Linked DNA regions of Arabidopsis thaliana. The protein of the gene in region 2 purifies or fractionates together with the protein of the main gene of each other region. This does not show direct contact. Each region holds a gene or a part of one and is shown on either strand. Other genes may lie near its edges.

Region 1 (7,776 bases), on a different chromosome or scaffold from region 2:
TGTTTGTTGTTTTGGAACTATTGTGACGTCCTAAACTTCAGAAATATCCACTACAACAAGTCGTGAACTCTTAACTTTGACTAGGTTCTGTCATTTGTTTTGGTTTCAGTTTTTAATCATGAGCACTACACAAAAGGCTTTGCTTTGTCTAGGTTATGTATGTAGTCTGTTTCCAATGCAAGAACGATTTAGACAAAAGGGTAACTTCCTGAACTTAGATATTCACTACAATAAGTCTTTAATTAAACAACCGAATTGTTAAGGGGGACAAAAGCATATTCAAACCCCAACAGGCAAACAAGGCTGGCGATAATAGTCACAAAAAACATTCCAAGCCTTAGTGTCGATGCCTGGCTTCAAGGCCGAGAGAGATCCTAAGCTGAAAGTCAGATAGCCTATTGAACTACTACTTACTTACTGAGCCAAGTAGGGCTGCTCATTTAACAGAAGAACATGGAGTTGGCGACGTTGTCTTTGAGTCTTGGGAGCTGTGCAACAGAGATTGGTCCTGGAGCTGTGATACCACCATGGCTTGATGATGTCTCAGACTGATCTTCAAACTTCATGAACGTCCCAAGCTGAGCAGCTGCCAAGTGAGCATAGCAGATCGGCGCAACTGCACAAAAAATTAAAATGTCAGTTATTAAGAGAACAAATGAAGACGACTTTAAATCGATGGAGTAGAGAAAACAGTTATGGTAATTACCAACAGAAATGGCACTGGTGCTTCTTTGGTACCTGGAATTTTGCCAAAGAAAGAAATCAGATAATTTCTGTTATCATCACAATCGAAGTTGTCACAAAAAATGTAATGAAGGTTGAATAAGAGACTACATACACATAGGAGAGCGAGTGGACAAGTTCCTGAAGTTCGTCAGCTGAAAAACCAATCTCATCATACAGGACGTGGTAGTGAGTTGGGCGGGTAGTTCCCTAATTCAGAACATAAAGAGTATTAAAACGATTCAGAGGAGCAAACATTAACAAATAAAGTTTTGAGTTGATAGATGAAACTTACAATCATTCCAGCGTGAGCACAGAGGTAGAAATCATTGTTCTTTGGGTGACATATTTTGTTGTCAATGATTGTCCCTGCAAAATAACCAAAACCCCCATGAGATAGAGATCAGCTATGTGTCAAAAAAGGTTATAATATAGATTTGTCAATCACCTGGAGGAACATTTTCAGGAGACGTTGGCTGGAAGAACTTGGTATGATGATTCTTTTGAGCCACCAACAAAAGGAACTTTGGGTTCCAATTTGCGTCTAAGAGCTTGCAAGCCTGAGGAAAGAGAAATGCAATTAAGTACTAACAGAAGAAGAAAATTACACTGAGAAACTTTTATTTTGAAGTTTCAACTACCTCGATGATCTGATCAAGTTCAATATTCAGAACCTGATTGAATTGAGATTCACTCACACCATCCCTAGAAGCATTAAACATCGAAACAACCAATATGAGAAAATAAAGATGGGAAAAATGAAGAGACAAAAGCTCTGATGTAACATACCTGAAAATTATGATATGCTCTGGTTTTCTCTTATTCGAGCTGGTGTAGAAATCTACCAGCAACTCCCTGCAATCAACAAATAAAGTTACATAGATACTTAAACCAGACTTCATGCAAAGATTAAACAAAAGCCACATCAAGAGTTAGTGTAAGTGCACACTTGATAATGCCATCGTCTTCAGTTCCATTTTTCTTGACAAGGGACTCAATCATCTCAGCCTTAGAAGGCTGTGTCCGAACAGATGCTCTATATTTGGATATCAGTGGCCACTCCCTAGAACTCACCACCTAAGTTAATCATAACAAAAGAGACAACTAAATATCAGTCTTGAAGAACTAGCCAAACTAAAAAGCAAACAACAGCAGTGAGTAAACATTTTACAGCAGCGATGGACGGGACATCAGACTGTCCAGGAGATCCATGTGAAACATCCATCCCAAGGATAATGGTTGGAACCTTAGAAATCACAGTGAACGCAGGTGTACGCTCTACACTTAACATTGAGTTCAGGCCTCCAAGCTGTAGTTATATGTTATCAGAGATTGCACACAAGAAGCAAAAACCATTTCCAAAAGAGAAAAAAGGAGAGAGATCACCTTTGCATTAATCTTCAGAAGTAAGTTAGTAAGATACTGATCATTAGGTTGCCGCGTTGGAGCCATGCATTGAGTAACAATGCCAAATTCAGTTAAGTTTTTTTTCTTCCATGGACCTGATGAAGGATTCAAAGTATTTATCCAAGGAAACTTCTATTATATAAAACAAAAAGATGATTGAAGACTGGATTTAAGAGATATCTAACCATAGAGATCACTGTTCTTTTTGTCAGGGAGCACACATAGTATGAATTGTGGGACACCAGGGAGTTTCGATTGGATGTCCTTAAACATGTTCTCAACACGAATCATAGGAGGAGCACGGCGGAATTGATTACCCTCCTCAAACACTTGAAAGGGAGAAGCAATTTCCTGGGACAGAATACAGAAAGAAGCAGTATCTAAATTGTTGATAATCACAAACAAGTTTTCAAGAATACTAAAAACAAAAGAAGAGAATCCTGCTTACAATTCCTTTTGATCCTCCAATTTTTATCAGATCATCAACAACTTGACGTACATTACAGCGAGCAGAGAAATTGACAACAACCCATCGTTGAATTTTGGTGGGCTCAACAAATTCCTGTACAACAAAGGGAATCAGACTCTCTGAACAGGTAAAATACAAAGAAAGGCAGAGAGAAACAGCACCTTGTTGTTGAAGTTCCAGCGACCATTTCTGGGAAAGGTTTCAGATCCACATCCCATTTTCAGCTGTCAGTCAAAGAAAACAAGAGAATATTACATGTATGCAAAAGCTAAAAACAATTCATCATGTCAAAAAGTAAGCGATCGCACCATACCTTGGGAGCTGGTAGAACACGACCCTCCACCTGAGTAAAGTTGGAGCTGATCGAAATGCCACAGGATCGCAGGAGTGGTTCCGCATCATAGTTGCTAACTTTCAGAGCCTGAAAGCATGAAACCAAAGATATGTAAATTCCAGTTCACTGACAAAACAGAACAGTTATGAAGCGGTCAGGATACTTTACTTTGGACAGAACAGTCATCCTCTCTTGGGGTTTCTGTCTGGATTTCTCAACAAGGGCAGATCTTTGGAACGTGGTAAGTGCTTTTGTGTACCTCTGAAGTGGAACCAACGCGCAGAGCTGCGAAAATTCCACCACATTACATACATTAGCATGATTTTTGAAAACAAATTAATACCATGACTATGAGAACGTTGATGAGTATAAGAGGCAAACCTCGAGAGGAATGTAAGTGGGTCGCTTTGGCTTCCCAACATTGATGCAAGGCAAATCCGCAGAATATTGCAAATCAATATGCCTTGTATCGCGGAAGTAGTCAGCAACTGTAACTTCAGTAGTTTCGAACTCTCCATTTTCATTTGGGTTCCTTTTCTTCAATTCAAACCTAGACAGTGTAAAAAGCAAACTTCAGAGAACCATTTATCTTTGAAAGAGATCACAACGTCAGAAAACTAAAACAGAAACAAATGCATCTCACAACAAAGTCAAATTAGTGAATATCTTACGTTTGTTCCCTGCAAGGCTTGTCACTCAATCCGGTTATCTTGAATTCTTGGCCTGAGGGGCTGACCTTTACCCTTAGGTTCTTAAGGGTTCGTTTAGCCTGTTGAAAACAACATGTTAAAATGTGTCAAGCCAAGCAAAAGAGGTAAGGAACATGTTTAGATTATGAAAAAGCCACATATCATAATAAGTAGTTAACCTTAGACCAGTCAATCGAATAAGGGTCCCTAGCATTTTGGTTAGCAATTAGGAAATCAACCACTGGACCAGGCTTGATGATCATGGTGGTTGTAACATCTAGCATAAGAACAAAACATAAACTATTAGACACTAAATTATTGCTACAACAGACAGAATCAAACACCAACATCAAGTACAAGTGAAATTATGTACCCATATTAAGTGACATGCCACCCTGCGTTGTTCTGAAACTGGAGTGAAATCCCCTACATCCTAAGATGTTACCACCAACTGGTTCACAGTTGGTTGGATCATTGTGGAAAAAAGACTGTCGAACAAGCAAGCAACCTCTGCAATTTGTACCATAGGTATTAGAAAGACAAATATATGAGATTAACAAAATACATATATACACTTGACACTTACTGTCTAGCAGCATGTTGCCTCAATATGATATCAAGAACCCGTATTGCCTCCTGGGAATTCTCTGATTCTTGTCCCCGCATTGCATTAGCAAGAGCTTGAAGAGGAATTTTGGCCGCATAGCTGATCTCCACTCTAAAGTTTTTGGACCGGTTAGGCCTACGCAGTCTTTTCCTATCACCATCACTTGGACTTTCATTCCCATTGGGGCTTCCGTTTCCATTAGCCCTGCTCACAAAATCCTTACTAAGAACAAAAACTAAAGCACACAACCAATGTAATGACTATAGTCAGATGATGTTTTACCTTGTAGCAGATACTTCCTCAAGCACCACAGAAAAATCCATCTTGTTACTAGGCAAAGCTCCATATGTAAACAACGTCTTCTCACCGTCATAAGCAAACTCTTTACCATCCAGATCAGAATGGTAAGTCTGATGCACCTTGTCAAGGATTTTTCTTCCAACACCCTTTTGTTCAACAGGACGACCATCATCATAGAATAGAGCCACCTGTACAAACCCACAAATAATCCCATTAGTTTGACATCATTCAGAACCAAATAACAGAATAAGTCAACATAACAGTAGCAAAAAAACATACACACTGCATCCATTCTAGTGACATCAATCATCCAACAAAAATAACACAAAATAGTTTCAAAAACTTACACTGTAGTGGAAGAAATGACCCTGAAGATTAGCCACATCGACTTTGAAATGATTTGTTAACAAGGGGATCTTTTGGCCCCTTGTTCCAAATCCTTTTCGAGCCATAGGAACTCGAACTGGCCCCTTCTTCTCAGCAAGTTCAGTTTTAACACGAACTGGTTCCACATTTGGAGGTATAACTGGTGGAGGAGGTGGTAATGCCTCAGTAACCCCACTCCCGTTTGCCCCATTTGCTGATTCAAGATCAGCTCCGTTACCATTTGTTGAATCCATCTCCTGCTCAAAGAAACCAAACAAAAAAAAAGTTCAGATTTCAACATTTATAAGCAAAAGACACAATCCTATACAAAACCAAGCAAAAATTTCAACATATATGAGTTTGTTCTGTCGCAATCTAAACAAACATCAAAGCAAAAATGGTAAAATTTGAGAAAGTTTGCAACTTTCCTTCATAAATCCCAAAAGAGAAGTAAAATCTTTGACTAAAACTAAAAAGCCCCAATTTTTTTGACGCATGCAAGTGTAAGCAAACATGTATAACACGGAAAAACGTCAGCTTTCATGACATAGTAACAAAATTGCGTCAGCCATGTGACAGTTCATAGCTTTATTCAAAAGACAAACCCAGAAAGGTGACATCTTTGAAGCAAAAACCTCATCAAAAATCTCACCTTTAAAACAAAAAAACCCACAAAATCAAAGTGAAGAAGCTCTATAAGCAAGAAAAATCCAAACTTTTTAACACATTAACTCTAAAATCTACAAAAGAACACTGCATGTGAAGTATTCAAGCTTGAGAGTAAGAATTTGTAAAAAAAAACTCGGAAAAAATAGGTTTTTGATATGAAAAACACAGAAACCACACAAAAAGTCACAAACCCAGAGATTAAAGAAGCCACATTTCTAAGAAATACACAAAACCTATGAGCTAAAGAACATAAACCCTACAGTAGAATCAAACAAAAAAGCACACTCACAAGACCCTAAAATCATCACCTTTGAGTTTATCGATGAAACAAAAACGAAACCCTAGCCGAAACAAGAGAGGATTATTTTTCTTTCTTTTTTTTTCAATTTCTCTCTTTTGCTTTTTTATTTTACTCTCAAAATTTAGCTCCGACCTGAGAGGAAAATGGTTCAGTGACAGTAGCATAAATCGAGGATTCTTCGCTTTCAGTTATGTTCCTCTACGTCACGGCTCCATCATAGTAGAGCTACTCTTACAATCTTGACCGTTAAAATGGTTGACTTATGTTATTGACTTCGCTTTGTGTCCCGCTAGATTATTTTAAATTTTTTAATTTCAATTGGTAGTGGTGGTAGACAAACCTTCTGTGTTCTAATATTGAATGTGCGCATTAATTGACACGTACATGCTACATAACTATGGATTTAACAACTGTGTTACAATAATTATAAATTATTATTAAGCACAATATAAAATTTAAACAGTTTTATGTCTCCTAAACTATGTAACTTATTGTCAATTAGTTTATGTGCTTCAATGATCTCGTTTATGGTTGATCCTCACTGGAATCCATTTTTGATTATTGACTAAAAAGGTATCTAAGCCGCAATTATAAAAATTATAAATTGGTGAATAGAGATTAGGTGGATTCAATAAAGAAAACTATAATTGGAGATGATTCTTGATCTGTGATTAAGGTTATAAGTGGAGAAAGACAAATAGTCAAGTGTGTGACATTTGGAACTTACATAGCTAGCCAGCTGGAGAATGAGGGTATCTACAAATATTCTCTATAGTTTAGTTATATTACACACATCGGCAAGTTAGCTATATATGGTTAATTACAGATGCAATTGGAACCAAAATTAAAATGATACTCCACTTAGAGAGACATCACATTTTTGAAGTATATAAGATCAGGAGGTGCTTGAATTATGTTATTAATATTATACATTGTGTACACTTGAGATATAGGATATAATAAATTTAGTTAGTTAGTGTTGACATATAGTTTTTAAGTGTTTGACATTTGGAACGTACGTAGTTAGCCAAGCCAGCTGGAGGACAAAAACTAGCTAGTTGGTGAAAATGGATATCTACAATTACCTTCTAGCTAGCTAGGTGGCTAAAGACAGATGCACTCGGAACCAAAACAAACAAGATACCCGACTTGAAGAGACCACATTTTAAAGCATACAAGATCAAGAGAGGTGTTTGAGTTGTGTCTACGTTCAGACCCAAAGAAAATTGAAAGAAAACGATTTCTGGCCTAACCATCTAGCAAGTGATATTTAGGATCGGATGCTTTGTAACTTAAAGGAATTTGTGTGCATTGTTTCTTAACCATTGTGATAGTTTACCAAATTGATTTTGAATTTGGCTAAGTTACGTTAGAGGCTTTTACCACACTAATCATGAATTAGCCTAATTGTTAGAGGTTCATTATCTTGAAAATATGTAGATCGATTGCATGATTTCTAACATCTTGATTGTTCAATTTATCTATCTTGTTTATTTGCTCATTTTAGTTCTTAATTTTGTTAGTTTAGTTTTCAATTATCTACTATATATAGTTTAATTGCTTTCATTTATCCCTTCTTTTATTCTATGCATGTTAGGGTATTAGTGAGACCGTAGATTCTCATACCGTCTTATGGCAAATGATTTCATCATAATTTAATGTGTTATACTGTTATGGCATTTTCCCGTGGATTTGATTCAATCTTTAGTTACTCCAATGACATACCACGCATATGCGTAATGTGTATTTATGGTTAAAATTACATCACATGAGAGTATCGGACAATTTACAAAAATGTATACGAGGTAGTGTATAAGACGGTGTATGGGATAATTCATATGGTTCAGTACAAAATAATATACTAGGCTGTGTGCGTGAAGGGATGTATGAGATGGTATAAACAGAGGTGTA
Region 2 (6,089 bases):
TTCTGGTTCGTATCCTTAGTTGATTTTATTCATAACATTTTATTGGTCTACATGCTTCTGCTTGATCAATCTTGTGCTTCTCGTAGGTTAATCCTCATACGCATCAGGTCAAACTATGCGATTTTGGTAGCGCAAAAGTTCTGGTATAGCATTTGTAAAGAGACATGTTGATTTGTTTTCATATTGAAAAGTTTGCACTTTTTATGGTGCTATGCAATGTTAACTAGTCCTAACTATTTTAGCTTTGCCCCTCTGTAACAGGTTAAAGGCGAGCCAAACATCTCATACATCTGCTCCCGTTACTATCGAGCACCTGAACTTATATTTGGAGCTACAGAATATACAACAACAATTGACATATGGTCTGCAGGCTGTGTTCTTGCTGAATTGCTTCTGGGACAGGTAATATGACTGTCCAAACTTTCCTCCATTTATCTTTTACAAATGATTTGATTTACCGAATGATGTCTAAAGTTATATATTACCAATCTTTGGCTTGTCCAACTTTTGGTTAGCCTCTATTTCCAGGTGAGAGTGGAGTTGACCAGCTAGTTGAGATAATAAAGGTACTTCAATTTGGTTAAACAAACACACATAATCCTAGCCATTGCTATATTGAACATAGAGTGGATCATTGATTATATGGAATGAAGAGGCTCCATTTCCTGCTATTGATTGCCATCATTTTGTTTACTGTGTGTGTTACAGGTTCTTGGAACACCAACACGGGAGGAAATCAAATGCATGAATCCAAACTACACAGAATTCAAATTCCCGCAAATAAAGGCTCATCCTTGGCACAAAGTAAGCAAACACATCATCAGTTTTTCCTTAACATTGATCTCCATATATTCTTACGATTGAAAAATCTGTTGTTGGTTCTTAAGATATTCCATAAGCGTACACCTCCAGAAGCTGTAGACCTTGTCTCAAGACTTCTCCAGTATTCTCCAAACCTCAGATCAACCGCTGTAAGTCAATGAAGTGATTACCATAATAACATTATGTTTGATATATCTGGTTGGTTGATTCAAACTTACTTGTTATTGTAGATGGAGGCGATAGTTCACCCGTTCTTCGATGAGCTACGTGATCCCAATACACGTCTTCCTAATGGTCGTGCCTTGCCTCCTCTCTTCAACTTTAAACCTCAAGGTCTGTCTCCTCCAAATATGCTTTTGTTTGTTTCCCAATGCTCCGTTTTAACAAAGACTAAAAGTGTGTGCTTCTTGTTAAATATGTAGAGCTAAAAGGAGCAAGTTTAGAGTTGTTGTCCAAGCTTATACCTGACCACGCCCGAAAACAATGTTCCTTCCTCGCTCTCTAAATCTCTTCCTCTCTCTCTATATATATGTGTGTGTGTGTGTATGTACACATGCATATAATATGCTTATCGTTTCTAAGTAATGGAGATAGCTTCTCAGGATTATCATTAGCTTTCATCTTTCATGTATCTTTGTTGTTTATTGTCTTATCACAACCTTTGTACTTTATTACATACAATGATTAGTGTAATGTATGTGACGGTCTTTGACTCGCCGGTCGCTACAGTTATGTTGGATACTAAATTATAAAATAAACTTCTCGCTCGTCACGTGTCATTGCATGCATCCAAAGCTCATGCTTCAAAGCTTAGCCAAACTTATTTTTAAAAAAGCCTATGTTCTGTGTAAAAGTGTCATTTACGAGAGTTTCTTGTTTAAGTTTAACCAATTTCACTTCCTCAAACGAAATACGGTAATTGGTAATATCCTCTAAACATGAATTATCATTGACTATAAAAATTAGTTTCGCAAATTGCCTCTAAGCACCACAAGTGTCACGTAACGTGTCATTTATTCATGTTTATTGATTTAGTTAATTAAAAACATTGTAGTTTAATTATTGAAGTAGTACAAAGAATAGGGACTAAATTGCAATACTCTGAATTTGTTTTTTTCTTTTTTAGAATCATCCGACTTTTTGTTTCACGGTTTCCTCCTCCAGTAAACTGACGACGATACAAGCTCTCTCACCAACGGCGACAGTATCTTTGCCGGCGGCGGGAGCGCTTCTGCTTAATCTGTAGCTCAAACTAAAAATTCTCTGGGTATTACTCATGGTGATTTGGAATAACGATGATGATGATTTTTTGGAGATTGATAACTTTCAATCTTCTCCACGGTCATCTCCAATACATGCAATGCAGTGTAGGGTCGAAAATCTAGCTGGTGTAGCCGTGGTAAGTGATCCAATCCAACAGTCATAAGTTTATGCCTAAGCAGAATCATTGCTTATGTGAATTTTTGTTTTGTTTCAGACAACTAGTTCTTTGAGCTCTCCTACTGAGACAACTGATTTAGTTCAGATGGGCTTCTCAGACGAGGTTTTTGCTACATTGTTTGACATGGGATTTCCTGTTGAGATGATTTCTAGAGCGATCAAGGAAACTGGTGAGGCTTTTTTCTCTTGTTTGTATTCCTTTCTGGATATATATGATCCGTAACTTGATACCAATAATTATACAGGACCAAATGTAGAAACTTCGGTTATAATTGATACTATCTCCAAATACTCAGTGAGTTTCTAATACTTTGATCTCTTGGGTTGCTTGTCATTTACATGTGCTTCTGTCATCACAGTATTCATATCCTCTCCTTTGTTTATTTGTGAAGAGCGACTGTGAAGCTGGTTCTTCCAAGTCCAAGGCTATTGATCATTTCCTTGCTATGGGATTTGATGAAGAAAAAGTTGTCAAAGCCATTCAAGAACATGGTACTTACAGATTTCTCTCCTCCTTAAGTAAGAAGTAACACTTTATCACTTTGCTGATATTTGCTTTATAAATCGCAGGAGAAGACAATATGGAAGCAATTGCAAATGCATTGCTCTCTTGTCCAGTAAGCGATGTTACGAAAATATACTGTCTCTTGACATTAAAAAAATAGTACTTAAAGTTCGTTGATGGTTTGTAGGAGGCTAAGAAACTGCCAGCAGCAGTAGAGGAAGAAGATGGCATTGACTGGTCATCAAGTGATGATGATACCAATTACACCGATATGTTAAACTCAGATGATGAGGTATAACTCTTTCATGTTGGTGATAACATATTTAAGCATCCCAGGTTTGAATTGTAAATGTATCTCACTGCTATTTTGTATATGTATCTAATTTTATGCGTTCTTAATCTATTTTAAATCATGACAGAAAGATCCAAACTCAAATGAAAATGGCAGCAAAATACGGTCTTTGGTGAAGATGGGTTTCTCAGAGCTTGAAGCTTCTTTAGCTGTCGAGAGATGTGGTAACTTTATTTTAAACGATTGCCATTGTCATTAAATTTTAGTTCCGTTTTGTTCAGGTTTCTTCTAGACAACGTCGTATAAATTGCTTGGTTTAGCCTCTGATTTAGTGGTGTAGGCCTTAGATGTGTTTGCTGAGCATTTTGATTGTATTTCACTAATCGAAAGTTGTCATTAGTTCTGTCTTAGCTTCTGGTTCTGTGATGTACGCCTTAGATATGTTTGTAGAGAATGTGATCGTATTTCACAAAATGATAAAAGTTGTCAGTACTTGATAAAATTGTATGTTCACTAGTTCCTTTTTATTCAGGTTTCTTCTAGAGGAAGTGGCATAAGCCAAATTGCTTAGTTTTAGTGTAATGTGATAGTCAAATTGTGGCTTTAGCCTCTGGTTCTGTGATTTAGGCTTGAAATGTGTTTGCTGAGCATTGTGATTGTATTTCACTAAATGATACAGTTGTCAGATGTTAATATATATCTCTTACTTACTCTAAGTATGTTGCTGCCTTATCCAGACTCATATGATTGTAATTTCAGGAGAAAATGTGGATATTGCAGAGCTCACAGACTTCCTTTGTGCTGCTCAAATGGCTAGGGAATTTAGTGAGTTTTACACTGAACATGAAGAACAAAAGGTACTGTTAAAACCTTTTTTATAATCTATCTTTTGTAAGTTAATTCCTTTGGGAACTGATTATTTTGGGAAATTTGGTGTATGCAGCCTAGACATAATATTAAGAAAAGGCGGTTTGAGTCAAAAGGAGAGCCAAGATCATCTGTTGATGACGAGCCGATTCGTCTACCAAATCCAATGATAGGATTTGGGGTTCCAAACGAGCCCGGACTCATTACACATAGATCGCTTCCAGAGTTAGCCCGAGGGCCACCTTTTTTCTACTATGAGAATGTCGCCCTCACACCTAAAGGCGTTTGGGAGACTATTTCCAGGCACTTGTTCGAGATCCCACCTGAGTTTGTGGACTCAAAATATTTCTGTGTTGCAGCGAGGAAGAGAGGCTACATCCACAATCTCCCCATCAACAACAGATTTCAGATTCAGCCTCCACCAAAATACACCATCCATGATGCATTTCCTTTGAGTAAGAGATGGTGGCCAGAATGGGATAAAAGGACCAAGCTTAATTGCATTTTGACTTGTACAGGTAGTGCTCAGTTGACTAACAGGATTCGTGTAGCCCTTGAGCCTTACAATGAAGAACCAGAACCGCCTAAGCATGTACAAAGATATGTGATTGACCAGTGCAAAAAATGGAATTTGGTTTGGGTGGGTAAAAACAAAGCTGCCCCACTCGAGCCAGATGAGATGGAGAGTATTCTGGGATTTCCAAAAAATCATACTCGTGGTGGAGGCATGAGTAGAACTGAGCGCTTCAAGTCCTTAGGAAATTCGTTTCAGGTAATTTTACATATCATATGCGTAATAATACTCTTTGTAGTTAAAGTCTTTTGCGTATTTGATTCATTGGTGGGTGGCTTGAATACCTTGGTTTAATGGTTGGTTGAACTTGTTTTAGGTTGATACTGTGGCGTATCATCTGTCTGTCCTGAAGCCCATTTTCCCACATGGAATCAATGTTCTCTCTCTTTTCACGGGTATTGGTGGTGGGGAAGTGGCACTTCATCGTCTCCAAATCAAAATGAAGCTTGTTGTGTCTGTTGAGATTTCAAAAGTCAACAGAAATATTTTGAAGGACTTTTGGGAGCAAACTAACCAGACTGGAGAATTGATCGAGTTTTCAGACATCCAACACTTGACTAATGACACAATCGAAGGGTTGATGGAGAAATATGGTGGATTTGATCTTGTAATTGGAGGAAGTCCTTGTAACAATCTGGCAGGCGGTAATAGGGTAAGCCGAGTTGGTCTTGAAGGTGATCAATCTTCGTTGTTCTTTGAGTATTGCCGTATTCTAGAGGTGGTACGTGCGAGGATGAGAGGATCTTGATCATTCACATTACCTGAAGTAGATTGAAGTAGATATGACTCCATGAAATCTAGTTGAACTTTATTTTTCTATATCTGTTATGTAATATGGCCATGAAGGTACATTTTTGAATAATATAAGTCAACCTAACTCTCTTTTGCTTTTTGCGACAATATATCTGCAACTGCATTTGCACTTTTCTCTTCCCTGCCTTAACACTGATGTTCAGTAATGTATTCAACCAGACAAATGTGTCATCATATAATCTTTGATCCTTCCTTCATGCGAAGGGTTAATGGAGAAATATGTTTGGGGTATTTGTATAGACACTTTGGTTAAGGAGTCAATTAAGAGTAGTCAGTGACTTGTAAGCTGAAACTGCAGTACTTTTTTTTTGATATACTGATATTGCAGTTCTTAATAACGAAACAAACTTGTTTACTTCAAAATATCAAAAAGTCATTCCTATTTAGAGGTCTAAAACATTTATCAGCTGAGAAACATCCACTACTTAAACACCAACACAGAAAGAACCCATAAACGAGTCTTTATTTTCCATAATATAAACAGAAAAAGGTTTCTCGTAGACCAAAACATTAGAGTATCCTTCAGGTGTGTATGATTTTAAAAAGTACTAGCAGCTTCGGTCCACACACCACAAAATGAATAATTTACCCCAAGAGAAAGAGGCTCTTCTATATGTATATTGCCCCAATCTGGTTTAGATTCCAATGACTTATCTATTTTTCATCATCATCGCCTCATGAAAGCTGCGAGGCGGAGATGAAGTGGACGGTGGACCTCCTCTGAATCTCTCAGGACTACGGCTTCTCTCTCTTCCCCATCCTGAGCTGCCACTGCT

Evidence for each region. The genes of interacting proteins can lie anywhere in the genome.
Region 1: the proteins of DRM2 (region 2) and AGO4 purify together in Arabidopsis thaliana (affinity purification with western blotting; one study listed by BioGRID). This does not show direct contact.

The regions. Positions count from the first base shown.
Region 1 is NC_003071.7:11,536,355-11,544,130, forward strand, and holds AGO4 (Argonaute family protein), read right to left. Parts: upstream 6,038-7,776; 5' UTR 5,873-6,037; exon of another isoform or gene 5,854-5,872; intron 5,153-5,853; 5' UTR 5,150-5,152; coding exon 4,877-5,149; intron 4,718-4,876; coding exon 4,512-4,717; intron 4,434-4,511; coding exon 4,209-4,433; intron 4,133-4,208; coding exon 3,996-4,132; intron 3,900-3,995; coding exon 3,802-3,899; intron 3,703-3,801; coding exon 3,605-3,702; intron 3,484-3,604; coding exon 3,315-3,483; intron 3,219-3,314; coding exon 3,102-3,218; intron 3,021-3,101; coding exon 2,913-3,020; intron 2,824-2,912; coding exon 2,761-2,823; intron 2,693-2,760; coding exon 2,579-2,692; intron 2,482-2,578; coding exon 2,316-2,481; intron 2,226-2,315; coding exon 2,110-2,225; intron 2,033-2,109; coding exon 1,895-2,032; intron 1,801-1,894; coding exon 1,673-1,800; intron 1,579-1,672; coding exon 1,513-1,578; intron 1,429-1,512; coding exon 1,365-1,428; intron 1,284-1,364; coding exon 1,172-1,283; and 10 more. UniProt on the Arabidopsis thaliana protein: Together with RDM3, required for transcriptional gene silencing (TGS) by DNA methylation and repressive histone modifications (H3K9me2) of several chromatin loci.
Region 2 is NC_003076.8:4,714,588-4,720,676, reverse strand, and holds DRM2 (domains rearranged methyltransferase 2), read left to right. Parts: upstream 1-1,972; 5' UTR 1,973-2,098; coding exon 2,099-2,221; intron 2,222-2,299; coding exon 2,300-2,432; intron 2,433-2,507; coding exon 2,508-2,557; intron 2,558-2,654; coding exon 2,655-2,754; intron 2,755-2,832; coding exon 2,833-2,879; intron 2,880-2,954; coding exon 2,955-3,059; intron 3,060-3,186; coding exon 3,187-3,283; intron 3,284-3,818; coding exon 3,819-3,916; intron 3,917-4,002; coding exon 4,003-4,698; intron 4,699-4,816; coding exon 4,817-5,248; 3' UTR 5,249-5,572; downstream 5,573-6,089. Other genes in the region: SK13 (shaggy-like kinase 13), read left to right, coding at 1-5, 87-143, 262-402, 516-566, 709-804, 888-971, 1,053-1,155, 1,245-1,327; AT5G14610 (DEAD box RNA helicase family protein), read right to left, coding at 5,964-6,084. UniProt on the Arabidopsis thaliana protein: Involved in de novo DNA methylation. Controls asymmetric and CpNpG methylation. Required for FWA gene silencing but not for the maintenance of SUP gene silencing. Functionally redundant to CMT3 to maintain non-CpG methylation.